Callithrix jacchus: one gene and its partners. The protein of the gene in region 4 interacts with the protein of the main gene of each other region in a biochemical or structural test. Links are inferred from orthologs where the notes say so. Each region holds a gene or a part of one and is shown on either strand. Other genes may lie near its edges. The genes, in order: HRK, BMF, BIK, BCL2L1, VDAC1, SIVA1 and PMAIP1.

Region 1 (3,570 bases), on a different chromosome or scaffold from region 4:
TTTGGGGATCCGGGCGGGTTCACACCTCTGACACTCACACACTGGCAAACGGGAACACTCAGACAACCTCCGGCCCAGAGTCCTCCGCCTCCCGGGAGGGGCACCTGACATCCCGCACGCCACGTCCCGGGAGGGGACCGCTTTTCCAATCTCCTGGACGACAGAACCAAAGAAAGCCGTGTCCCAGCCCTCTCCCCATTTCTATTTGATTTTACTCCCTTCTTCTCTTGCCTTCTAATTCACTTTTCAATTGTCTTACAACTTGTTCTCCAGGCACTTTCTCTTTTTCTCCACCCTCTCCAAACTTCTTGTCCCTCCCCACCTCATCGCCTGGTTTTTCTCTCCCTCTTCACCCACTTTTTTTTCTGCCTCTTCCCAAATTCCACGCTTTGGGCTTCGCGTCTGTCGCTCAACTTCCTTTTTCTGCTCCACGAGATCCATCCAAAGTGTTCTTCCCGTTCCTGGGATTGGGCAGCCTCAGCCTGGCCCCATTCAGTCGCGGGAGCCCCCGGCCTCTCCAACTGGAGGAGGAAGAAGGCGGAGAGTAGTGGAAGGGACCCCCGGCGCCCGGGAGCCCTGCGGAGTGCGCCCCGAAGCGCTCACTTCTCTTCGTCAGCGCCCAGGCTGGGCGGGCCCACGCGACATCTGTCGCCTGCGGTCCCGGCTCACACCCCGTGCACCCCCGCAGCTCCCTGGGCGCTGCCACCCCCCACGCTCCGGCTGCCGCCTTTCCCGGCGGGCGCAGGCGCTAGGGCCTCGCCTTCAGGCGCCGCTCCAGCTTCCCAGGGTGTCTGCGGTGCGAGGCGGGGCTCGGCGGTGGGGACCCAAGGGCGGCTGGCTATATCACCTTCGATCTTCACCTTCCGGCCCTAGACCCATCTATGGTGGACTCAGCTTGATTCTCTCCACCTTCATTTTCTGCAACGCTCCTCGCTACTCCAGGATCCAGAGTAGTAAGGCGATGCTTACACTGTGTGCTTCCTCAAAGCGCCTAGCACAGTGCCAGACGCACAGCTATGGCACAATAATTTCCCCCCAAGAGCCTATAACCTTCCTCCCACTGATACCAACCACACTAGGCGCTCAAGGCCCACGTCCAGTCCTAAGCTCTCAAAACATCACTTCCCTAAACAGTGCCCAGCACCCAGAAGGAGCTCAGTAAATGTTCCTTCCTTAAGGCTTCCCATTGGAGTTTCCCCAAAAGCCTCCTATTCCAACCCACTGCGAGGGCGTCTCCTTCCCAACGCAGCTACAACCGTCTGAGGAGAAGGAGGCCAAATTCCTTAAACAGGACAACTCACTGGCGAAGGAGCGAAGTTGGCAGGGCAGAGGAAATTTGCAAATGCGCGGGGCTTGGGGTCGAAGATTGGGCCAGCCGGAAACAAGGAGGACGAAGTCTCGAGATGCGATTGGGGTGGCAGAGAATGGGGATCAGAGATTGGGGAAGTGACACTTAGGGAGAAGAGGTGGGAGCAAAGGTGAGGGAGACGGTGGCGACTCAGGAACGGCAAGAGGCTTGAAGGGGACAGGGGACCTTTCTTAAAACTGCGACAGATTATAAGTATTTGGCGTAGCTTTCAGCTACATTCTCATCGCAAGCACACTTTTTACTTGCATTGTGTGTTTATTTGTGGGGCTGGTGGGGATTATGGAGGCTGAAGTCCTCCGCAAGCCAACCAGCTCTAAGGGAGAAAGTAGCAAGATGCGCTTAAGGACTCGGAGAGATGGGGGCAGAAACGGTGGACCTGACACTTGGAAGGAAAGACGGGGGCTGGGCAGAAGAGCTGGCCGGGGGTGCTTGCAAGAGAAGAGAACAGAGGAAGAAGGGAAAGGGAAGAGAAGAAAGCCAAACTTGCCACTCTCCCGCTCCCGGGCCAGCCCAGCGCCTCCAGTGCCCAGCTGCCGCGCCCTGGCTCTCGCTCGCTCGCTCGCTCGCTCGCGTACCTGTTGCTCGCTCCGGCTGGGTCTCGGCTCCGGCCCCACCAAGAAGCCCCGCGTTCCTACAAGTTCCGCCTGCCGAGCAGCCAGGCCGCCAGCGCCGCCACCTGCGCGGCCGCGCACAGCCAGGGCCAGTAGGTGGGGAGCGCGCCGGGCGCCGGCGCCCTCCGGCTCCGCGCGCGGCGCCGCCACATGGTGCGCTGGTGCAGCTCGTCGCCGAGCGCCTTGAGCCGGGCGGCGGTGAGCTGCGCGGCGGACGAGCGCAGCCCCAGGCGACCCGCGCTGCAGGCGCAAACGGCCGGGGGGCCGCGGCCGCGGTGCAGGGGGCACGGGCACATGACCGCTGGCCTCGCTCCCGCCCCGCGCTCGGGCCGCCCCTCGCCTCCTCTCCCTCCGGCCTCTGCGCCCGCCGCCGCCGCGCTCCAGCCGCCGGGGGCCTCCCCTGGACACCAAGTTTCTCCTTGTGTTGTGCGTTTGTTGTGCTGACAGCGCTATTATTAATTAAAGTGTCACATGGTGGAGGGGGGCGGGGAGGGGGGTTACATCATCCGGCCCCCGGGGGTGGGGGGGGCTGCAGGCAGAAGAAACCGAGAGGTAACTTTTAACCCTAGCGGCGCCGGCAGCGAGGGGCGCGCGGTTTGGGAGACGGGGTAGGGCGGCGCGCGGCTACGCGAGAAGGCGCCCCGCGACGGAGGTCCCGGGCTTTGAGGGTCTTGGGGGACCCCCGCGGAAGCGAGGGAAGGTTGTTCTCCTTCCCCTTTTCCTGAATTCAGCTCGAGTTCCGATTTGGCGAAGGAAGCAGCCTTGTTTGCCGTTTTGGAAGAAGCTGATACTGAATTCGGCTGCCTGATTCAAAAATATTCCGAGGCTGTTTTGTTTGGGGGAAGTGGGTGGATTCAAAATCTTGTGGAAGGGCCAGATTACACCTAACTTGCCTCGTTTCAGGTCTGACTGGGCACCTGTAGGCTTTCAGCCTGATCCTAACGCGCCCCCAGCGCCCGGCTAGAAACCCTGACGTAGGCGCAGTGGGAGGTTGGAGGGGTCGGTCCTGAGCTCACGTGGGGCGCGGACAGAGGCTTTCTCACCGCCCAGTACCTGCACCCAAAGGGCCCTCACAAGGGCCTTTCTAAAGGGAAACTTCTTGTCTGCTTTCTTTGTGAACGTTATTTTCTTGATGGGGTTACAGTTTTCTGCGACGATCCCGATTTATGCGCAGTAGAGACCCTAAGGGGTCAGCGAGAGGAGGGGTGCGGGGGACTTTAATTCCCCCTTTTCCAACCCGACAGCCGCTCCTGTGCACCTCCAGACTGGAGAGTCTGGAGTTGTCACAGCCAGTGAAGGTTCAGATGGGTGGGGCGGCTCTCAGGATTCTTCAGGGGAGAATGAAACCTGCGATATTAAATCCACTGGAATTCAGGCAACTTTGGGATTCAGACGATCGGGATGAGTCCAGAGGTGGCTCGAAGGTGGGAGTCTGGAAGCTGCTGAGGGAGCTTCCATTCTTTCCTTCCCACCGCAGAGTATAACCATGATTCTCCAATCCTGTGAACTTAGTTTTGGTCTGAATTGATCAGGAGGAGAAATGTCTGCTTTGGCCTGCAGCGCGGTGAAATGACAACAAAGTCAGGACTC
Region 2 (3,500 bases), on a different chromosome or scaffold from region 4:
ATTGCTTGAACTGGAAGGCAGAGGTTGCAATGAACCAAGATCATGGCACTTCACTCCAGCCTTGGCGAAAGAGTGAAACTCTGCCTCAAAAAAAAAAAATGCAGGGCCAGACCTTGGGATAAGGGCCTCCTCCTCCTTCTGTTCAGGACCAAGTTAGGAGGGCTCCCAGGAAGACTATATCCTAGTCCTGTGCCAGGGAGGGCTCCCAGCCTATTCCCAAGCCTATAGGGGCTCACCAGTGGCTAGGGGAAGGTTCTGGGGAATAACTGGTGAGAGAGATCAGATAACTGCAAATGAAGCAAGCTGCCTTCCACATAGGCCTCTAGCTGAGTCTAGGAGAGCCACAGCCACTGTGTCCTCCAATCCTCTCCAGTACCGGGACTGGAAGCTGTGAGCTGCGCTCAGCCATAGGCCTGTATAACCAGGGTGGAGTGAATGGGCAGGAAGGAGGCCAAGAAACTGAAAACAAGAATCAGAGTGAGTCCACACATGGATTGAAGGGGAAACTCTAAGCCAAGTTTCCACCAAATAATCAAAGGAGGGAGTAAGAACTGGAGCTTAGTCTATTATCTAAACATAAGGCCACCCTCCCTTCCTGATCACTAAGAGACTAGGAGGACTTACCAGGACCGGGTCTAGCCCCAAACTGTCCTCAGAATTCCTTGGCAGAGGGCATTAACAATATCTAACCAGCAATGGCCTTTTCTTAGGAAATCCAAGGTCAATTCCTCTTCCCCTGCCACTGGCAATGGTTTGACCCTTAAGTCAACCTACTTATTATCAATAGCTCTCCTCTGGCCACCTGAAGTTACCCATCTAACCCTGGAGTCTGCCCAGTCATGATCAAGCTATTTATTCCCTTGATTTATTGACAGACACACATACACACATACAGAGCCAGCAGGGCCAGGGACACAGTCCCAGAAGTACAGAATGTGTTCGCTTCCAGGTGACACGGATGCAGCCTCAGGCTCCTCTCCCTGCCTTGGCAGCCATCCAGAAAGCCAGCCTGGAGAGGAAGGGTTAAGTGCCTGGGGGCCCAGCCCAGACAGCGGCTGCTGGAACAGGGCAGCCTCCAGTCCGTGGCACAGAGGGCTCTTCCAGCACGAGCCTGCCAGCCGCCGCCTTTGTTGATGGACTCTGCCACATGCTCGGCTGACACGCGATGCTCCACCCTGGCGGGGCTGGTGCCAGGCTGCCGGCCAAGCACCCGGCCAAGCGCCCGGCTGGCCGCCGGTCTGGGGAGCCTCTCGGAGGTACATTCTCTCGAGTCCCAGACCCTGGTTCCCAGACACAGACAGTGAGGAGCGGCCTCCCCAGCTGGAAAGTGTCAGGTTTCAACCGGTTCCACCACTTTCCCCCACTCAGGCCCCATCCCTTGGCCTGGTTACCCGTTTCCCACTGTACCTTAGCCAGGCACCCCCAACTGCCCAGTGTCACTGCAGCACCCTAAAAATCTTCCTTTTAGGTCTGTGAGGGGCAGTCCCCCGGCCACCACCATAAGAAGAGACAGGCTATCAAGCAGGGCTGCAGAAAACCACCCTATTCCAGGGGAGGGATTGTAGCCTCTCCCAAGATGGCCCTTATGGAACATGAGTTGAGAGTGGGCAGTTAACCAATGCAGAGCTCCGAGATGAGGGCAAGATGCTCATCCAGCTGGGCCTTTCCTGCCTATGGGAACCGCAATAACCAAAACTCTGGGACCACATTCTTGCGGTCTGGCAGAGACAGAGTTGCTGACAAGAGGAGAGAGGCAGGCCCTGGCCCCCAAGCCCCACAGACCCAACCCTCCTCCCTCAAACCCCCATGCCTACTTGCTGCACATGAAGCCGGTGGAACTGGTCTGCAATGCACTGAAGCTTTCGGGCAATCTGTACCTCTGCTCGATGTTGCCACTGCCCTTCGGGGGGCTGCTCCCCAAGGGGCAAGACTGCCGGGAAACTGGCAGGGAGAGGAAGCCGGTAGCCAGCATTGCCTGCAAAGATAGAGGAGCCACATCTCAGCATTCTCCACAACTGCTCCCGCCTCCCCACACCTGCCCGACCTGGCCAAGATTGAGGCTGAGAGTAAATCCTCCTATGAGAATGGATAGGAACCAGCATGCCTGTATCAGGGCACTCTGCCAAGCTTGGACAGGCTGCTGCCCAAGTGCATAAAGGTTGCAGAAAAGAACGGAGAACAGGGAGAGTGGCCCGAGCCTTCCCTCCAGTTCTCCATTCACTGACAGTGCAGTGACAAAGGGCAGGGTGGTAACGTGTGCAGGCGAACGTGCCAACCTTCCATCCTCACTTATCAAGCTATGCTTGACCACAGTTGATCATTCATGTAGTAACAGGTTGAAGTTCTTCTCTGGAAAAGCACTGGAGGTAGCTCTCCAGAGTTTCTGAGTTGAGCAAAGTAAGGGGCAGAAAAAAAAAGTGACTTCACGTTTTTAGTGCAGTAGAGGAAGGCTGGTCTCTCGAAGCTCCTGGGCAGCAGCATAAAAACAAGGGAGAGAAAACTGAGATGCACAGAGCTGCCAAGTTCCTCTCTGGAGACAGCCCCAGGCAAGACCTCTAGACCAGCGCTCCACACTTACCGAGTGCACGCGTTAGAGCCAGCGCTAGGGGCGCCAGTCCGCCGGCCTCCGCGCTCCTTTCCCTCTTCCCCGCCTGCCCGCCTTATCCAGCTTCTCATACTCCCGCCAAACTGCTTTGCCAGAGCTGCCCTGAGAGGCAGTTCCCTCTGGGAGTAAATACAGTGTCTCCTCAATCTGCTCGTCAGACACAGCAAGCCACCCTCCTAGCCTTTACCCTCCCTCCATAAGCTGCAGTGCCACTAGAAGAAAACAGACTGTCTGATCCTGCCGTTTTGCCAGAGGAGGGCCTATTTCTCATAAAACAAACTATTTAAGCCCACAAATGAAGAGGTCTTGTCTGATTTAGCCTTGAAAGCATCCCCTCTCTTGGCACTGGGCCCAAGCAGGCCAACCTCTTTCTCCAGTTCCCCTACCACATACAGAAAGTCCCAAGTGACAACTGGGGCCACCTTCTGCCTTCGGGAACCCACCCTCCCAGAACCGGTTGGGTTTTTCCCTTCATTGTCAACAGCCAGTCACAGATCCCCCAGCCTTCTCCAGGGCAACAGGAGCCACTTTACAGAAGGCAAATCACTGCTGGGACACTAAAGGCCGGGCCACTCAAGGGGCACAGGATGTAAATGGAGATACTATGGACTCAAGGATCCCTCCAGGAGGGGACTATGGAGCAGAAAGAAGGGCAGGGCAGTTTGCCCTTTGGGGTCCTGAGGCGCACAGGTGAGGAGCAATAACAAGCCGAGAGGAAGCAGGTGGAAGTCAAGGAATCCACAGCCCCACTGACCACTTTGGGGAAGGAAGCAGCAAAGGGCAGGTTTGGGGAGGGAAAGTCTCCTCTTTTCCCCCAATTTCTATGGAAGGAGTCTTGAGGCTGACAGCACTCACCGTAAAAGAGTCGCTGGGGTTCCTCAGTCACCCCACAAGG
Region 3 (4,005 bases), on a different chromosome or scaffold from region 4:
ACAGGCTTTAGTCAAATGTGTCAGAATCTGTCTTAATGTCCTTACGATGACAAAAAAAGGTCCAGGCATGACGGCTCACGCCTGTAATCCCAGAGTAGCTGGGACTACAGGCATGTGCCACACACAACACCCGGTTAATTTTTTGTATTTTTAGTAGAAACCGGGTTTCACCATGTTAGCCAGGCTGGTCTAGAACCCCTAACCTCAGGTGATCCACTTGCCTCCGCCTCCCAAAGTGATGGGATTACAGGCGTGAGCCACCTCGCCCAGCCAGCAGGAGTATTTAAACACCCAAACGGTGCCATTTACTGAGAACTTATTCTAATGGTATCCCCTAAGTAGAAATCGCGGTAACTCCAGGGAGGCCACTAACTTGAATGTGGCTTTCTTCACCCCCAGCCAGAAACCTCAGGGAGACGTTTCTGCAGAATGGACAGAACAAACTGACTTTGGAGAGACGGAGTAGCCCTTCAGAGGCCGCAGGGCTCTCGGACAGTGGAAAAAGGTTTTGGCTTGGCTTCCCATAAACGGCCCTTGGCTTCCAGCTGGACAACTCTGGCATTTCTGTGCCTCCTGGGACTGAAGTGTTTCTCCACCTGGAAAATGAGGCCTCCTGCTCCCAGGGGGAGATAGAATTTAAGACCTTCCCGAAGCCATTGCCCACCCTAATGTGGGAAGATGAGGCTGACACCAACCCTCCCTGGCCACAGTAAACACCGCATCAGCAACAAAAATGTTACAACATTAAGAGCAGCAGCAGCAACAACAACGTCCTGCCCCCTGAGTGGCTCGTTGTAGCAAAACTGAGAACAATTAACGGCTTGAAAGTGATGGCATTTAGGAGGTCAGAGCCCAGATGACAACCAGCTCCAAACCCCTAATCCTTGTCACGACGGCGCCCCGCAGGCGGAGGAACCCCTCTAGGGTCACCCGCAGGGGCGCACCCCCAGTTTACCGACAAGGTCCCACGCCCCAGCCGGGCTCTCGCCCCCGCCCCGCCCGGAGCGCACCTGTGCAGGGCGCATGGGGCAGGTGCGGGCGAGCGGCTGCGCGCCGCTCCGCCTGCACGTTCCTGTTCCGGACTTTCTGGGCGTCCCGTTACGAAGCCTTTCCTCGGCCTGTCCTCAGGTGCGCAGTGCCCCGGGGAGCCCAGTCCCGGCGGGAACAGGTGCCCGACGCCATCTTCCCTCTTTTAAGGACACCTGGGCTGTGCGACCGCGACCGTGGGCTGGCGGTGCCGCGCTGCGCTCTGGCCGGGTCCGCACGACTACAGAGGTCGGAGCCTGGTCCCCGAAAGCCGCGCTCGAGGACTGTGAGGGGGACGATGGGGCTCCCGGCCTTCGGGGCGAGACGCAGAAGGACCACCCATTGCACAGACGCGGGGACTGAGGGCCGCGCCTGGCACCATGCATGTCCGGGACGTGTCGGAGCCGGAGTCCCGGGACGTAGCCCCGCAAGGGACTCGTCCGCGACTTGCCGGAGCAGAAAGACCGGGCATGGGTCCTCAAATTTTCAGCCGCTCGGCACCCGGGGCCGCGGCCTAGGCGCTAATCGCGGGGCTGGAGTCGGGGAGGGGGAGCGGCAGCAGGGTCGGGGTACTCACCTGGCGGCGGCGGCGGCGGCGGCGGCGGCGGCGGCGATGATAGCAGAGTCTGCGACCCAGCAGAGAGGCGTCGTGTCTGCGGCCCGGGGACCCGCGCGGGACCTAATGGACCGGGACGCCCCGCCCCGCCCGGGTCCCGCCCCGCGCCGCCCCGCCCCGGGAGCTGCCTCTCGCACCCCGAGCGCGGAATGCTGGACTGGGGTCTGAATGGCATTAGCAACAGAACCGCTACAAGTGCGGCCGGTTGGCTTGTTTACGGCCTCTCTGCCCCCTGCTGTTCTGCAAACTTGCTTTGTCTCGTGCGTCGCTGTTTTCCCTGCGCCCGAGACGGGCGCGCACTCAGGGGTTTCCATGAATACCCGGGGTCGATCCCTTGCCAGAATCTGGGTGTATAATCTAAGCCCTTTACACGGATGGCTTCCCTTCGAGCTCAAAGTACTCCTAAGGGCTCGGTGCTGTTTTTCACGATTTTACCCGCATGGGAACCGAGGCTCCAAGAGGACGAAATGACTTGCTGAATGACCGCGTGAAGCCAACGCTTGAAAACGTGTGTTCCTTAGGCAGCTCTGGGACTTAGGTGTTTGGTTTTGTTTTGCTTTGGGACGGACTCTCAGCCACCCACTCTGGAGAGCAATGGCACGACCTCTGCCTCCCGGGTTCAAGCGATTCCCTTGTCTCAACCTCCGGAGTAGCTGGGACTATAGGCGCGCGCCACCACGCCTGGCTAATTTTTTGTGTTTTAGTAGAGATGGGGTTTCACCCCGTTAGCCAGGATAGTCTCAATCTCCTGACCTGGTGATCGGCCTGCCTCAGCCTCCCAAATGCTGGGATTACAAGCCACCGCGCCGGGCCAAGAGATTTAGGTATTTTTAAGCCTATTTCACGAATACGAAAACCGAAGTTCACACTTGGGTTAGCAGCAGTGCTCCAGACCCCAAGCCGGTGGGCTTCCCCTCCACTCCCCTCCCTCCGCAGTCTTCCAGCAGCACCCACACACCCACTGCCTTACCCCTCCGGTCTCGGGCTCCCGGACAGCAAGAGCGGGGCGGGACCGGGAGAGAATTGGGGGCAGGGGGCCCACCGGCAGACCTGCTGAGACGGACCCCAGAGACCCACCAAGGAGAGATAAATCAGAAAGGTTCCGGGAGGGGTGGGGGGCGGCAGCCTGCCCCGCGGGGACGGGTAGTGCCTAACTGCGCCCTGGGGCATATTGGGGGTGGGAGAAGAGGAGGCTCCTGGAATAACAAAGTAACGATTGTCCTGATCACAACAAAGCTTGTTTACGCGTGTCCTGATCCTCTTAGAGATCGGGGGAGGGGCAGGAGCCGGGGCTCCCCTCCCCGGACCATCTCCTCCCCCAGCTCTGTCGTTGCTACCTGTTGGGCACCCTCACTGCTCTTCCTACCTCTAGGGTCATTACTTCCCCCTCAGTGTTCTCATCTGTGAAATGGACAACAGCACCTACCAAGAGCTGGGCTGTTGGGAGGAACAGAGGAGGTAAAGCCTGATAAGGTCTTCAGGGTCCCTCCCTCCTGCTGGGCCTTGGACCTTCTCTGCTTTTGTAGTCTTTGCTTCTAGGGCGTCCAAACCACATCAACTCCCAGCGCTACAAAGCAGCTCACCCTGACTGTGGATAACAGCCACAGGGTGCCTTACAGTCAGGAGTGGGAAACCCTTAATTATGGGGCTTCCCTCTGAGTGCATTTTGCAGATGAAGAAATTGAGACTCAGGGAGGTAAAGCAATGACACAGCATCTCTTGGGTCCAAAAGACCTTGTATGTGTGAGATGTTTGCAGAGGGGTCTTGAGGCTGCAGGCACAGGGCCAGGCATGTGGATGTTCAGTAAACAGCAGAACAGATGGAGAATGAAGGACAGTTTGGGGACGCTTTGAATGATTCAAGGGCAAAGTGGGTGAAAATACAGTACTTATTTACTTTGCAAAATCACAAGATAATATGCTGATCAAGGCTGGGCGCGGTGGCTCACGCCCATAATCACAGCACTTTGGGAGGCCGAGGCGGGTGGATCACAAGGTCAAGTGATCGAGACCATCCTGGTCAACATCGTGAAACCCCGTCTCTACTAAAAATTAGCTGGGCACAGTGGCACGTGCCTGAAGTCCCAGCTACTTGAGAGGGTGAGGCAGGAGAATTGCCTGAACCCAGGAGGCGGAGGTTTCAGTGAACCGAGATGGCGCCATTGCACTCCAGTCTGGGTAACAAGAGCGAAACTCCATCTCAAAAAAAAAAAAAAAGATAATATGCTGATCAAAAAGAGGAAGAGATGGCCAGGCATGGTGGCTGTAACCCCAGCACTTTGGGAGGCCAAGGTGGATCACCTGAAGTCAGGTGTTTGAGACCAGCCTGGCCAACAAGGCAAAACCCCTGTCTCTGCTAAAAA
Region 4 (3,500 bases):
GCTGACTGTGTCTCCCACTAGAAGGTCAGCTCCTGAGGGCAGAGACTGTGTCTGTCCTGTTCACATGCAGCCCTAGTGCCCAGCACACAGCATGTGCTCAGTAAAACCCTGTCAACCTACAGGTGGAAAAATTCGGGCCCAGAAGGAAGCAAAGACTGGTCTAAGGCCCTCCCCTGAGGGCGGCAGAGCCAGGACCAGTACCCAGCTCTCCAGGGGCCCCACCTTTCCCCATCCCAGAGCACACAAGAGCCCAGGCTCTTTGTTCACTGAGTAAACACAGTTTATTACTGAACTGCACTTTCACCTTCACACAGACTATTTCAAAGAGCTGGAACAAGTGTGGGGTGGGGGTTGGGGGAGGGACCCTCAGGAGCCAGGACCCTCGGCCGGCTTCCCTGGACCAGGGCAGGGGAGGGAGCATCAGGCCGTCCAATCTCCGGGCACCAGCTCTCCACGTGCACGCGCACTGCAAGCCAGCAGCTCCTCACACATAAATACAGACACGCTTAACAAAAATAGTATATCATCTTCACAAGGAATAAAAACTAGTTTCGAATATGTACAGCAGAGAGCCCGGGGTGGCTGGGACCCCTGGGGATGAGACAGGCCAAGGGTGGAGCAGAAGAGAGAGGGAGGCCTGAAGAGCTCCTGGCCAGGCCACTCTGACCTTGGCAGCCCGGCTGCCCAGGTTGGACAGGTGTGGGGCACAGATCTGCCTGGCCAGGCAGGACTGGCCCTTCTAGTCAGCCCTACCCCACCCCATGCAGCAGGCTCTCCTTCCTGCCCTTCCTGCCTGAGGTAGGGAAGACCCTGGGGCTCCCATAGCTTTTCCTGATAGCTCCCCTTCACCTCAGGGCTGAGTCCCCTGAAGCCCCATGAGGAGCAGCCCAAGGTAAAGATGCCACAGGCTGCTCTTATACGAAGTGAGGCAGCTGAGGCCATAAACAGCTCTGGGGCACCTGTCTTGGGCCCAGTTGGTCCCTCAGTCATGGTCATGGGAGCCAGGGAGGGGAAGGGACTAGGGTGGTGCTGAACTGCAAGAGCCACCCCAGCTTTGGCATAGGGTGCTTCCTGCAGCTATAGCCCCTCCCTCCTGGATGGGGCTGGCCTCTAGCCAGAGGCTTCTGGAGGACATTTGGACTTCGAGTGAGGACTCTGCCAGTCCAGAGGTGGGAAGGGAGTCCTGGTCCTTGCTTCTTTATCCTAAGCAGCGGGAATCCCTAATTAGTCAAAAGTGGCCCCTAAATGGCTCTTGGGGGATAGGGATGGAAGGAAAGAGAATCCAGGTTAGTGTGGGGAGAGGGGGGAAAATGATCAATTCTGAGGCCACAAACATCAAAACAAAGGCAATCTACTCTCCTTTCTGGGGAAGAGGTTCTGAAAACTTTCAAGCTCCCTGGTAGAAAAACATTTTCAGGAGGCTAAGGGGTAAAGGTTGCACCAATCAGGTAGGGCCCTCCTGCCCCCAGCCACAAACCCTTCCATACCTGCCAGCCTCCTTGGGACAGATTTTTGTGGATTCTGAGGCCAAGGGAACTGAGGTGTGGGGGTCTCACAGAAGTGTGGTAAATTCTAGAAAACTAACTGCAGGGGACCAGATCAAGGCCCAACCCTGTGGAGGGCAGGTGGGCACGGGCTGCATGTAGTGGTTCTCCTGGTGGCAATGGCGGCTGGACGGAGGGATGTGGTAGGGCAGGGCAGGGGTGGGAGGGTAGAGTGGATGGTCAGTGTCTGGTCATTTCCGACTAAAGAGTGAGCCCAGCAGAACCACGCCGGCCACAGTCATGCCCGTCAGGAACCAGCGGTTGAAGCGCTCCTGGCCCTTTCGGCTCTCGGCTGCCGCATTGTTTCCATAGAGTTCCACAAAAGTGTCCTGCAGGGAGAGAGAAGGAAGGCGCAGTTTGAGTCATCAGACAGTAACATAGGTGGGTGCGGAAAGGGGGCCATCTGCATGCTATGGCCTCGGTGATGTGAAAAACTGTAGCCACTCTGGGCCAAGGGTGATCCTCTTTCTTGCCCCTCAGTGGGTCATAATTAACCCATGCTCCCGCTGAGAAAGCAGGCAGAGAGGAGGAAAGTATGCTGTCCGAGGTCAGTCAGGAAGCAGCACTTATTCTAGAATCCAAGGTGGGAGTGAAACAGGCAGGGTCAGGGAACTGACTGAAGCTGGGTGGCTGGACCAGAGTGCAGGAGAGGAGGGCATGGGGAAGATAATGGTGCAGGGCTGAGCCAGAGCCAAACCATGTGTGGCCTGGAAGCTGTGAGGAGCCTGGAGTTGAGTCTGAGGGTAGTGTGGAGTGTAAAGCCACTAGGCCTCAGACTTTCTACTGTTGCACCAGAGGGAGGGACAAGAAAGCATAGGGCTAAATCCCCAGGGTCATTTGGGGCCAATTCAGGGGTAGATTGGGTCAAGTTGGTGACGGGAAGAGCAGTTCAGTGGAGAGAGGGTAACAACGATGGAGTACTGAGAGGCCTCCATGATGGGGTCTGTGAGGCCCTGTCCCTGTCCTCCACTCCAGGGACTGTGACTCTGGGCCCAGGAGGTCGTTCTTGATCAACAGCCCTCTGCCCTGAAGCTAAGTCAGAAGGGAAGCACATGACAGGGGGAAGGAGGAGCTGTGGGTTAAATTACCCAGCCCAGGGTGCAGCAGCCTGTGGGGCAGGGAGAGAGATGCTTAGAGCATACTTCGTTTTGTTTTGTTTTTTTTGAGACCGAGTTTTGCTCTCGTTGCCCAGGCTGGAGTACAATGGCGCAACCTTGGCTCACTGCAACCTCTGCCTCCCGGGTTTAAGTGATTCTCCTGCCTCAGCTTTCTGAGTAGCTGGGATTACAGGCATGCATCACCACACCTCACTACTTTTGTATTTTTAGTAGAGATGGGGTTTCTCCACATTGGTCAGCCTGGTCTTGAACTCTCAACCTCAGGTGATCCGCCCGGCTCAGCCTCCCAAGTGCTGGAATTACAAGCGTGAGCCACCCCTCCCAACCTAGAGCGTACTTTAATGAGTAAGTGTTGTGCCCAATTTGTCCTGTAATCCTCCCAACAGTGCTGCGATGCAGGCTGTCTCTCTCCATTTACAGACCAAGAAGCTGTGCCTCTGAGGGCGCAGGGACTAGATCAAAGTCACCCAGCTATGTCAGTGGTGGAGCCAGAATCCAAACCTGTGTCTGGCACCTAGAAATAAGTAAGAAAAAAGTAAGTTCAGGCTGGGCGAGGTGGCTGACACCTGTTAATCTCAGCACTTTGGGAGGCTGAGGCAGATCATGAGGTCAGGAGATTGAGACCATCATAGCCAATATGGTGAAACCCTGTCTCTACTAAAAATACAAAAATTAACTGGGCGTTGTGGCAGGCGCCTGTAATCCCAGCTACTTGAGAGGCTGAGGCAGGAGAATCACTTGAACTTGGGAGGCGGAGGTTGCAGTGAGCTGACATCACGCCACTGCACTCTCAGCCTGGCGACAGAGTGAGACTCTGTCTAAAAAAAAAAAAAATATA
Region 5 (3,500 bases), on a different chromosome or scaffold from region 4:
GATACCTGCAGGGAGAAAAATCAGGGAGAGGAAAGGAGGAGGAATGGAGAAAAGAAAGGTTAACACCAAATTCAGAACCTGTTCCAGGTATTATCAGCAGGGTCCAAACTACATGGCCCTTCAATCCTTGTTACTTAACACTATCTGACTAACGAGTATCCTACAGTGAGCTTATAAAACAACTATAATTATCCTGCTGCCCAGAGAGCCTACCCAAATCTACTTCTGAAACCCCACTTTCCTTTTTCCTCCCACTGTTCCCCTGGTATAATTAGTCTCTAGCACTGGCAGCATGCAGTAAGCTTCTTTAGCAATCATCTCTTTAAATGAAACCTCAATCCTGAATCCAACCTAAGGGATGACATTTTCAGGTTCATAGTGTACACACACGTACAACAAACTGACCTTCCCTGAAATAACCTGATTCAGGGAGTAGCTGGTAATCTTAGGTTTCCACGGTTCAAAGGTGATATTACACCCTAGAACTATAATACACCATGGACTGGCCTAGCTTACTGTGCAGAGGAAACCTGCAAACCACTTTTCCTATTTGTCTTTTTACAATGGGGCTGATTTATAAGTTAGTTTTGAGAATTTGCTAGAAATAAGTATCAGGCATTATATACACACTGGAAAAAAGGATGGAAGAAAATAGCAGAGAATATATGTTAGCCTCAGCCTTTTTCTCCTACTTGCTACATCTCATATTCTCTAAATGTTTTATAATCATCCATACTCCTTTATAAACATTTAATTATACAACTTTATATACCCATTTATTATATACCCACTGTATTATACAAACATTTTACTATGACATAAATCAGCAAACCAGCACCACAATTTTTTTTAAAACAAAGAACCAATTTCACACACAAGCAACACATACCTGGCTTTAGAGTCTGAGTATATCCTAAACCTATCAGGCTGGAGTTATTCACTTTAGCCTAGTCAAGGAAATGACAAAACAGAGAAAACATTACGTTTAACACTTTGCAATTCCATCTCCAAAATCAGTAAGAGCTTTTTAGTCAACCAACCTTGGACTTCAGAATCAAATTTTTTTATGACCATCTTGTTCATGAGATTCATTAAATTCAACACAAAAGATACCAATTTTAGGTGCATATTTTCCTGTTCAAATGGTGTTCTGAGATCTGAAACCCCTCATAAGAACAAAGCAGAGAGGAGGAAGGCCTCTTGGGGGCCAGTGCCCCTTTTCTCTTGTTTTTAAGTGCCTGCTCTTAAGAGAGCCAAATTTGGTTCTAGTTCAGGAGACTTAAAGTGGGCTGTCCATCAATTACACAAACCAGTACAGAAACCATTCTACAACATGAGATTTCCTCATTCCACCCTAAAGAGGTACAGCCTCCAGTGCCCTGTGACAACAGAAATGAGCCCAACAGGATTTACTGCAAAACCTGTGAAGTAGTTTGAGGGCCTGTGAGCAATGCAAGAGAGTCTGCAAGATGCCAACTGACTACTGATTTATTAATAGGCAATGCAGGAGTTGAACAGAAAAATGAAATGTGAGGTGGGAAATTATCATTTAGCACCCTAAATTTCAAAGTGCTTAACAGTCTGCATTATAGAAAAGGAATTGGTATTAATGGAAGAGACTCAACAGTAAGCCAGTCTAGCTCAAATCCAGTCCCAAGCAACTTCCTGCTGTGTACCCTTGGACAAGTTACTCAACCTCTCTAACCTTCTAGTTCCTCATTTGTAAAAACACAGATGACTGGCTGCGTGCAATGGCTCACGCCTGTAATCCCAGCACTTTGAGAGGCCAAAGCAGGCAGATCACCTGAGGTCAGGAGTTCAAGACCAGCCTGACCAACATGCTGAAACTCCATCTCTACTAAAAATACAAAAATTAGCTGAGTGTGGTGGCGGGTGCCTGTGGTCCCAGCTACATGGGAGGCTGAGGCATGAGAATCACTTAAACCAGGGAGGTGGAAGTTGCAGTGAGCCGAGATCATGCCACTGCACTCCAGCCTGGATAACAGAGGGAGACTCCATCTCAAAAAAAAGAAAAAATAAATAAATAACAGAGATGATTGGCCAGGCATGGTTCATTCCTGTAATCCCAAAACTTTGGGAGGCTGCGGTGGGAGGACAGCTTGAGCCAGGAGTTTGAGACTAGCCCAGGCAACACAGAGAGATGTTATCTCTGCTAAAAAAATTTTATTTATTTATTTTTTTTTGAGATGGAATTTTGCTGTTGTTACCCAGACTGGAGTGCAATGGCACGATCTCGGCTCACTGCAATCTCTGCTTCGTGGGTTCAAGCAATTCTCCTGCCTCAGCCTCCCGAGTAGCTGGGACTACAGGCGCACACCACCATGCCCAGCTAATTTTTTCGTATTTTTAGTAGTGACGGTGTTTCACCTTGTTGACCAGGATGGTCTTGATCTCTTGACCTCATGATCCACCTGCCTCAGCCTCCCACAGTGCTGGGATTACAGGCGTGAGCCACCGTGCCCAGCCTAAAAAATTATTTTTAATTAGCCAGGCATGGTGGTGTGCCTGTAGTCCCAGCCACTTGGGAGGCTGAGGTGGCAGGATTACTTGAGCACAGGAGGTTGAGGCTGCAGTGAGTTATAATCACACCACTACATCAACCTGGGCAACAAAGCAAGACCTTGTCTCAAAAACAAAAAGTTTAAAAACCCAGAGATAATTTAAAACAAAAAAACAAAGCACCTATTTCAAATGGGATTAAACACAGTAGTCTTCATAAAAGGCTCTGCAGAGTGCCTGATACCCGTAAGAAGTACTAATACTTTGATCACTGTACTCATTTGGAACTCTTTTCAAAGTGACAATGTCTCCCATTTTGTTTTTGTTTTCTGAGATGGAGTCTTTTTTTTCTTTTTTTGAAATGGAGTCTCACTCTGTCACCCAGGCTGGAGTGCAGTGGCACGATCTCAGCTCACTGCAACCTCCAGCTCCCTGGTTCAAGCAACTCTCCTGCCTGCCTCCCGAGTAGCTGGTATTACAGGCACACACCACCACACTCAGCTAAATTTTGTATTTTTAATAAAGACAAGGTTTCACCATGTTGGCCAGGGCTCCTGACCTCAAGTGATTTGCCCGCCTTGGCCTCCCAAAATGCTGGGATTACAGGCATGAGCCACCGCGCCCAGCCGCATCTCTCACTTCAAGTAAGCTGAAGCACAGCATTCCAGCAAACCTGAAGGATTCCAACCTAAGTAGCAGATGGGCCTATGAGATGCGTGATTCCACAGATACCTACCGAGAAGCAGGCGTCAGGGTCAATCTGATACTTGGCTGCTATTCCGAAGCGCGTGTTACTGTTTCCGGCTGTCCAGGCAAGATTGACAGCGGTCTCCAACTTCTTGTTCACCTTCTGGTAAATGGAGCCGCCAAACTCTGTCCCGTCATTCCTGCAATGAGCAGAGCACAGATGCTGAGCTTCCCAGGGAGGAGAGCTGCAGCCCAGACAGATCTACCCAAGTCTCCCAATAAACAGGATGCCA
Region 6 (3,980 bases), on a different chromosome or scaffold from region 4:
CAGTGTGGCCCACTGCCTCGCTGGTTAACAAAGAGGTGCCTGGGCTCCTCCCAGACACACCAAGCAGACTTGTGGGCAGGGTCGGGGACTGCCTTTCTAACAGGCAACACAGGTGATGGTGTGAGACCCACACTGCACAGGGATGGGACCGCTGTGCTTCCAGCCATTTGGGACTGTCTGAGAGGGCTGCAGGCAAAAGCAGACGCGACACCCGGGGAGCCTGCTGCTTTTCTGGTCCACTAGTTAGAAGCTGTTTAACAACTTCCCGTCTTGGATGGGAAACCTCCCGAGCCAGAAGGCCAAGCTCTGGGTGAGACTCCTGCTTGCCCAGGGAGGAAAAGCCCGAGCTTGCAAATAAAGAAAAAATGCTTGTGCTGCCACCTGCCACTCACCAGCTTCAGAGGCCTGCCCAAGGCTCCTGATCAGGCGACCATCTGGTCCAATCAGCATCTGCCCACGTGCAGCCCTCGGGACCTCTGTAGGGCCAGGCTTTGGGGACTCTGGTAGGTGAACGACGGCGCAGCCTTCATCCCATACACGGTCCAGGTAGGCCTGGGCCCCGAGGAAGAGCAGTCGCTTGGTCTTCTCTGGGGGAAGACAAATCATTCTCATGTTCTTCACTGTATACCAACGGAGCCTCTGCATGGCCGCTGAGTCTTTTCAGCCTCTCATGGACCCCTTGGTCCTACTGTGTGCCCTCTGTCACCCAGTAATGCATGCTGTGTCCTGGTAAGCTGGGTCTTGCTCTGCCTCTACACTGAGACGCTCGTGCCTCCCTTCCTTACCTGGCTTAGCTGTCATCTACTCCAGAAGACTCTGCCCTGCGGCCCCACCTGTGTCTGAGGCAGGGGTTCCCTCTTCTACTGCTCTGCTCATTTTCTGCAATCCACAGCCGGCCTTGCCTCACTGAGCGTGTTCCCCTTTCTCCCTTTCCTATTTCCCAGCACTCCCCACCCAGAAAGCAGTCTCTGTGGAATGCACAGAGGAAGCTCTGCACTGTGGAACACTAATTCACAAATCTCGCCCCTGCCTAGGAAGCAGCCAGAGGCTCGGAGCTGGGCCTGCAGCCTCCAGCCAGCGCACACCCCCTTCACCTGCTACAGACTTGCTGGCAAGACAAGCGTCCCAGAACCTTGCAGACCTCTTGGTGTAGAACACACACCATCCCTGGGAGCTGAAGGGCCTGCTCAGGACCCAGAGCAGTGGTTTTCCATCAGGCTCGGTCACCTCAGGAGCTTTGGAAACTAGACCCAGAGACGCTTTGTGTTTTCCACCTCATCGTAACACAGTTAAAGGTAGAGATCCCAGAAACTCCGCGTGGTTCTACATGAAATCGGCAGCCGTAACAGGGACAGGGTAACTCAAACGGAGTGGCTGATGACAGCCCACAGCACCCAGCACCTCCTCCTCCTGGCCCCCCACACCTTTCCTATCCATAATGAGAAGGGAATGGGATTGACACACAGTTCAAAGTACGTGTCCTGCACTTACCATGGAAGGCTCACTGCACCCACCCGTGAGTGGGTCGGGTTAGGGAGGGCTAACATCTGCCAGTGTCAGGGCACTCGGGAGAGTAAAGAGCTAGCCTGACCCAGGCCCCATTTCCATCTTCCTCTTGCCTGCACAGTCTGAATTTTTCAGCTCTCCGGAGAGAGGGCACGCGCTTGCGGTCCAGCCACGTTCCCACCGCGTCGCTCCCCGTACCCCGGCAGGACCGGAGACAGCACCCGCATTCACAGCCGCAGCACACCGGAGCCTCAGGAGGGGAAGCCTTTCCCTCACCCGCAAGGCACAAGCAGCACCACGGAAATCACACACCTCGGTCACTCTCTAACTGCTCTACAGGGCAGACCTTGCGCCCCAACCACTAGGCGAGGTGAGCGCCACTTCCTACCTGCCCCGGCGTATTCATCGCCCTAGTGATTAGTGATCACTGACGATTACGATCATTTTTCCTGATGATCGAGAACGCCTTGAACACGCCTGAAATGTACAGGACAAAGCCAGGGAAGGCCTCGCATCCGCCCGGCGCTGGACATGCAGCCACACGGAGTCCTGCCTCGCTCCGCCTGGGCTGACCCCTCTGCCCGGCTAAGCCCCACTCTTCCCACGGGACGCGGCCCAGACTGCTCTTCCAAGGGGCCCCTGCGCCATCCCTGCAGGTGCGCCTGCACCAACCTGCGCCCGTCCTGATCACCTGTGGTGACTCCTCCTGCTGCTGGTCTCCCCCACTAGGCTGCGGAGCTCCCGGGGCGCCGGGCAGGAGGTGGGGGGCGCTCCATGATTACCTCTTGGGTCAGGAGGGGCACTCCGGGTCGACTCCCTGCAGGACGCCCCCCTCCCGACCCCTCCCAGGGCATCCAGCACGGGACAGTCCCGAGGAAGCGCCAGGCAGGTGCCGCTGACTGCGGGGCGGCGGCTAAGGACAGAGACCCTTTACTTTCAGGCTGATGGACGCGGGGGGCGAACGCTGAGGTCCTCACTTCCCCCTCACCGACCCCAGCCCTGGTCGTGGGCAGGTTGTGTCCCCGGGACCCCAGCTCAGGCCTCGGATGGGAGGCTGAGGCCAGGCCCGACGCAGCGGACGCTCAGCAGTCCGCCCGGCACTCACCGAAGACCTCCTGCGAGTAGCGCTCAGCGCACACGCCGCGGCTCAGCTCCCTCTGGCCCACGCGCACCTTGAGCTGTAGCGGGGCCGCGTCCGCGAAGGGGCAGTCCCGCTTGGGCATCGCCGCGGGCCGGGAGCTACGCTGCTCCGCGGCCGCCAGCCCCTTACCGCCGGCGCCGTGACGTCACAGCCGCGCGCCCATCCGCGGGCGTGAGCGAGTTGGAGGGCGAGGGAGCGACGCGGTGCGCGATAGGCTGCGGGCGAGGTAGGAGGCGGGGCTCCTGTGCAGAGCGGCGCGGGATAGGCCGAGGGTGAGATCGGGGGTGGGACTCGTGCGTCGGTGATCAGAACTGCGCGGCGCGGGAAAGGCCCAGGGGCCAGTTTGAGGCTCAGAGTGGGCGGGTCGGTAGGAGGGATTTGTGCGCACGCGGCTCAGGATAGGCGGGAGGAGAGACTAGGGGCGGGGTTCCTGTGCGGCGCGAAGCGGGGTAGCCTGGGAGACAGGTCGCGGCGGGATTCTACAGTGCGGGAAGAGCCAGCAGGAGAGGCTGAGGGTCAGGACAGAGCCGCGAAGTCGGGGAGAATAAGGGGCGGAGCTTCTGCATCGGGGGCAGGCCTCGTTTGAGGATCGGCGTGGGATAGGCCAGGGCGACATCGGAGGCGGGTCTAGTTTGAGGAACGGCGCGGGATAGGCCGGAGCGACGTCGGGGGCGGGCCGGGTAGGTGGCGGGATTCCTGTCAGCTTTTGTTTGGTTGAACGGGTGGACACTGGTCGTGGTCCTCATTTGCTTCCCCGAAGTTCGGGGCGGCCCGCTTCTTCCTAGTTTTTTCCTTTTAGAGACACGGCCTCGCTCTGTCGCCCAGACTGGACTGCAGTGGCAAAGTCTCGGCTCACGATCCTCCCGCCTCGGCCTCCCGGTAGCTGGGCCCGCAGGCGCGCCCGGCTGACTTTTGGTTTTGGGTGGGAGCGGGGTCTCACTGCGTTGCCCCGGCTGGTCTAGCCGCTCGCCGTGGCGGTCCCCGCCTTCCGGAAGTAAAGGCGTGAGGGGGCGGCCCCGAGGGCTCCCGGGTGCTGCTTGTGTGGAAGATGTTCCTGCGCAGCGGGTCCGTCTGGCTCAGGTCCCCAGGCCGCGCGGTGCAGCCGCGTTGTCCCTTGTCCGGGCTCCGCTCAGCAGGGGCCGCTCTGCTCTGCGCTGCCCCGGCGGGTGCGGAACCGCCGCGTCCCGTGGCGTGGGCTTCGCGCTGGGCTGTGTTCTGGCGGCTCCGTCTGCGCCGCCTCCGGTGTGAGGAGCTGATGCCTGGAGCCCTGCACGCCCGCCCCGCGTGACACCGCCCCTCGTGATGCCACCCCCGTGACGCCCTCCCCGCGTGA
Region 7 (2,166 bases), on a different chromosome or scaffold from region 4:
CATGGTGAAATCCCTGTTCTCTACTAAAAATACAAAAATTAGCCCAGCCTGGTGGCACACGCATAGAACCCCAGCTACCAGAAAGGCTGAAGTACAAGATTCACTTGACCCTGGGGGGCAGAGGTTGCAGTGAGCCAAGATCGTGCCACTGCACTCCAGCCTGGGCAACAGAGCAAGGCTCTGTCTCAAAAGAAAAAAAAAAAAGACCTATGCCTCGTATTCATTTCCTATTTTTCAGTATTTCCCCTCCCAATTAAAGTGTTTAAGTCCCTTGACAGCAGAAATCATGCAAATTCCCCTACATTTTCTACTCGAACCAGTGGGAGGAGACAGTGCCGTCAGAAGGTCAGTGGATGTCTGCTGATGGAAATCAGTTAAAATACTTTGGCTTGATAATGAACACTTAGCAGCTTACAAGATGAAGAAGAAATGAACACACGGAAAAGAACAATGAAAGCTTTTAACAGTTTACTGCCACAGTATCAACTTTTATATGTGTACACACGTTTAAATACAAGTTAGACCATAAATACCCAGATGGTAAGATATCTGCTTCTAGGCTGAAAAAAAAATCTCTGCAACAAATAGACCATCTTAAGTAATACTGAAGAAAAGAGATGTGAGGTAATCTTCCATCTAAAGTGACTATAACCTATATTAAGACATTTTAACTAAAAATTCAAGTAGCCTTTGGAACTCAAAAATGTAACCTTAATATACATTTTCAAACTAAAAAATATTTTAATCATAAATAGGCAAAATAAATAAAATTATTTTTGCTGAAATAAAATCATATTATTTTTTATGTATTTGAGGACTGTATATAGACCAGATAAAAAATGAAACTTATTTGAGACTCTTCTAAGAATCTATATAATACTCGAATGCAAATTATCCATACAGATATCCATATAACTATGTAAGTATATGTAGACATATATATTCGCCAATGCATATGTGGAACTTTCATTCTAGATGAGAACAATCTGTTCCTCTTTTTAAAAAAAGCATATTCCAATTATGAAAACATTCTTACTTTGTATTAAAAGATCACTTTTTGTAGGATGCACATTAATGAGACAAGGAGCATTTTCCAAATTTTAGAAACTTCTTTAGAAACCTTCATTTCGCATCAAGTTACTGTGAATATTTGTTTTACTAAGTTTTAATTACATCAATTAAAAATCAACTTCATTTTTCTTTTTATTATCCCTAGTTATACAAAATCCCCGTGTTGTTTTATTATATTGAATGTTCAGTCTACCAATATACTGGCCCCAAGTAACCTCCTATACTTCTATCCAATTTTTTTGAAATTATTTTCCAGTTTTCCATAGTTTCCAACAGGAACACATTGAATGATCATCTCAACAGAAGCAATACAATTTGAGTCAAAGGAAACAAATTCTTTTACATTGTGTAGTGACCTAAGAAATCGACATTCACTATGACATTTCAGTGTTCTCAGAATGAATTTTTTTCCTTATAACAAGGTAATATGTATAAACCAAATCATATACATTGTGCTGAGTTGGCACTGAAAAGCAAAATACCAAAAACAGCAATAACAACAAAGCACTCAACTGTTTCTTCCCAGCCACCAAGTCTAACCATGGGCCATCCCCCTTTCCACTAGGCCAGCAGTAATCTTCAACAAAAACACTAGAACAATTATCTAAGTAAAAAGGAAATGTATCAATCTTTACTTCCCTATTTCCAAGGGTCTCTCGTTCTTGCTTTAAAATAAACAAGTGGTTTTATAACACTCTCATATCCCAACAAATGATAATCTGGGAAATTGCCAACAGAAATTCATTTTTGATGCATTCCATCTTCCGTTTCCAAGGGCACTCGTGAAAGCTTCTTCACATTCCTCTCAATTACAATTCAGTCTTCAAATTGCAATCTTCAAAATGCAATCTCCAAACTGATAAAATGAGCACCTCCTGAGAAAACTTCTCTTTTGAAGAAGTCCCCTCATGCCAGTTTCTTTTATGCAGTCAGGTTCCTGAGCAGAAGAGTTTGGATATCAGATTCAGAAGTTTCTGCCGGAAATTCAGTTTGTCTCCAAATCTCCTGAGTTGAGTGGCACACTCGACTTCAAGGTCTGAGAAGGAAAGCAAAACACGGACATCAACATTGATGATATTACCAACTGTAACCAGT

The links.
Region 1: the proteins of BCL2L1 (region 4) and HRK interact in a biophysical measurement, tested with the Homo sapiens proteins (3 studies listed by BioGRID and IntAct, with this or other methods). The link is inferred for Callithrix jacchus from reciprocal best matches to the Homo sapiens genes BCL2L1 and HRK.
Region 2: the proteins of BCL2L1 (region 4) and BMF interact in a test that uses a peptide from one of them, tested with the Homo sapiens proteins (2 studies listed by BioGRID). The link is inferred for Callithrix jacchus from reciprocal best matches to the Homo sapiens genes BCL2L1 and BMF.
Region 3: the proteins of BCL2L1 (region 4) and BIK interact in a test that uses a peptide from one of them, tested with the Homo sapiens proteins (3 studies listed by BioGRID and IntAct, with this or other methods). The link is inferred for Callithrix jacchus from reciprocal best matches to the Homo sapiens genes BCL2L1 and BIK.
Region 5: the proteins of BCL2L1 (region 4) and VDAC1 form a complex in vitro, tested with the Homo sapiens proteins (4 studies listed by BioGRID). The link is inferred for Callithrix jacchus from reciprocal best matches to the Homo sapiens genes BCL2L1 and VDAC1.
Region 6: the proteins of BCL2L1 (region 4) and SIVA1 form a complex in vitro, tested with the Homo sapiens proteins (2 studies listed by BioGRID and IntAct). The link is inferred for Callithrix jacchus from reciprocal best matches to the Homo sapiens genes BCL2L1 and SIVA1.
Region 7: the proteins of BCL2L1 (region 4) and PMAIP1 interact in a biophysical measurement, tested with the Homo sapiens proteins (3 studies listed by BioGRID and IntAct, with this or other methods). The link is inferred for Callithrix jacchus from reciprocal best matches to the Homo sapiens genes BCL2L1 and PMAIP1.

What each region holds. Positions count from the first base shown.
Region 1 is NC_133510.1:119,915,610-119,919,179, forward strand, and holds the start of HRK (activator of apoptosis harakiri), read right to left. Parts: upstream 2,411-3,570; 5' UTR 2,277-2,410; coding exon 2,001-2,276; 3' UTR 1,945-2,000; intron 522-1,944; exon of another isoform or gene 389-521; intron 1-388. UniProt on the Homo sapiens protein: Promotes apoptosis.
Region 2 is NC_133509.1:46,496,597-46,500,096, reverse strand, and holds part of BMF (bcl-2-modifying factor), read right to left. Parts: coding exon 3,461-3,500; intron 1,976-3,460; coding exon 1,815-1,975; intron 1-1,814. UniProt on the Homo sapiens protein: May play a role in apoptosis. Isoform 1 seems to be the main initiator.
Region 3 is NC_133502.1:188,655,043-188,659,047, forward strand, and holds the start of BIK (bcl-2-interacting killer), read right to left. Parts: upstream 2,801-4,005; 5' UTR 2,613-2,800; intron 1,682-2,612; exon of another isoform or gene 1,604-1,681; intron 1-1,603.
Region 4 is NC_133506.1:7,531,663-7,535,162, reverse strand, and holds the end of BCL2L1 (bcl-2-like protein 1), read right to left. Parts: intron 1,874-3,500; coding exon 1,736-1,873; 3' UTR 259-1,735; downstream 1-258. UniProt on the Homo sapiens protein: Potent inhibitor of cell death. Inhibits activation of caspases. Appears to regulate cell death by blocking the voltage-dependent anion channel (VDAC) by binding to it and preventing the release of the caspase activator, CYC1, from the mitochondrial membrane.
Region 5 is NC_133503.1:74,347,624-74,351,123, reverse strand, and holds part of VDAC1 (non-selective voltage-gated ion channel VDAC1), read right to left. Parts: intron 3,408-3,500; coding exon 3,257-3,407; intron 948-3,256; coding exon 890-947; intron 6-889; coding exon 1-5. UniProt on the Homo sapiens protein: Non-selective voltage-gated ion channel that mediates the transport of anions and cations through the mitochondrion outer membrane and plasma membrane.
Region 6 is NC_133509.1:139,618,854-139,622,833, reverse strand, and holds the start of SIVA1 (apoptosis regulatory protein Siva), read right to left. Parts: upstream 2,801-3,980; 5' UTR 2,730-2,800; coding exon 2,612-2,729; intron 588-2,611; coding exon 393-587; intron 1-392. UniProt on the Homo sapiens protein: Induces CD27-mediated apoptosis. Inhibits BCL2L1 isoform Bcl-x(L) anti-apoptotic activity. Inhibits activation of NF-kappa-B and promotes T-cell receptor-mediated apoptosis.
Region 7 is NC_133514.1:102,890,613-102,892,778, reverse strand, and holds the end of PMAIP1 (phorbol-12-myristate-13-acetate-induced protein 1), read right to left. Parts: intron 2,108-2,166; coding exon 2,001-2,107; 3' UTR 452-2,000; downstream 1-451. UniProt on the Homo sapiens protein: Promotes activation of caspases and apoptosis. Promotes mitochondrial membrane changes and efflux of apoptogenic proteins from the mitochondria. Contributes to p53/TP53-dependent apoptosis after radiation exposure. Promotes proteasomal degradation of MCL1.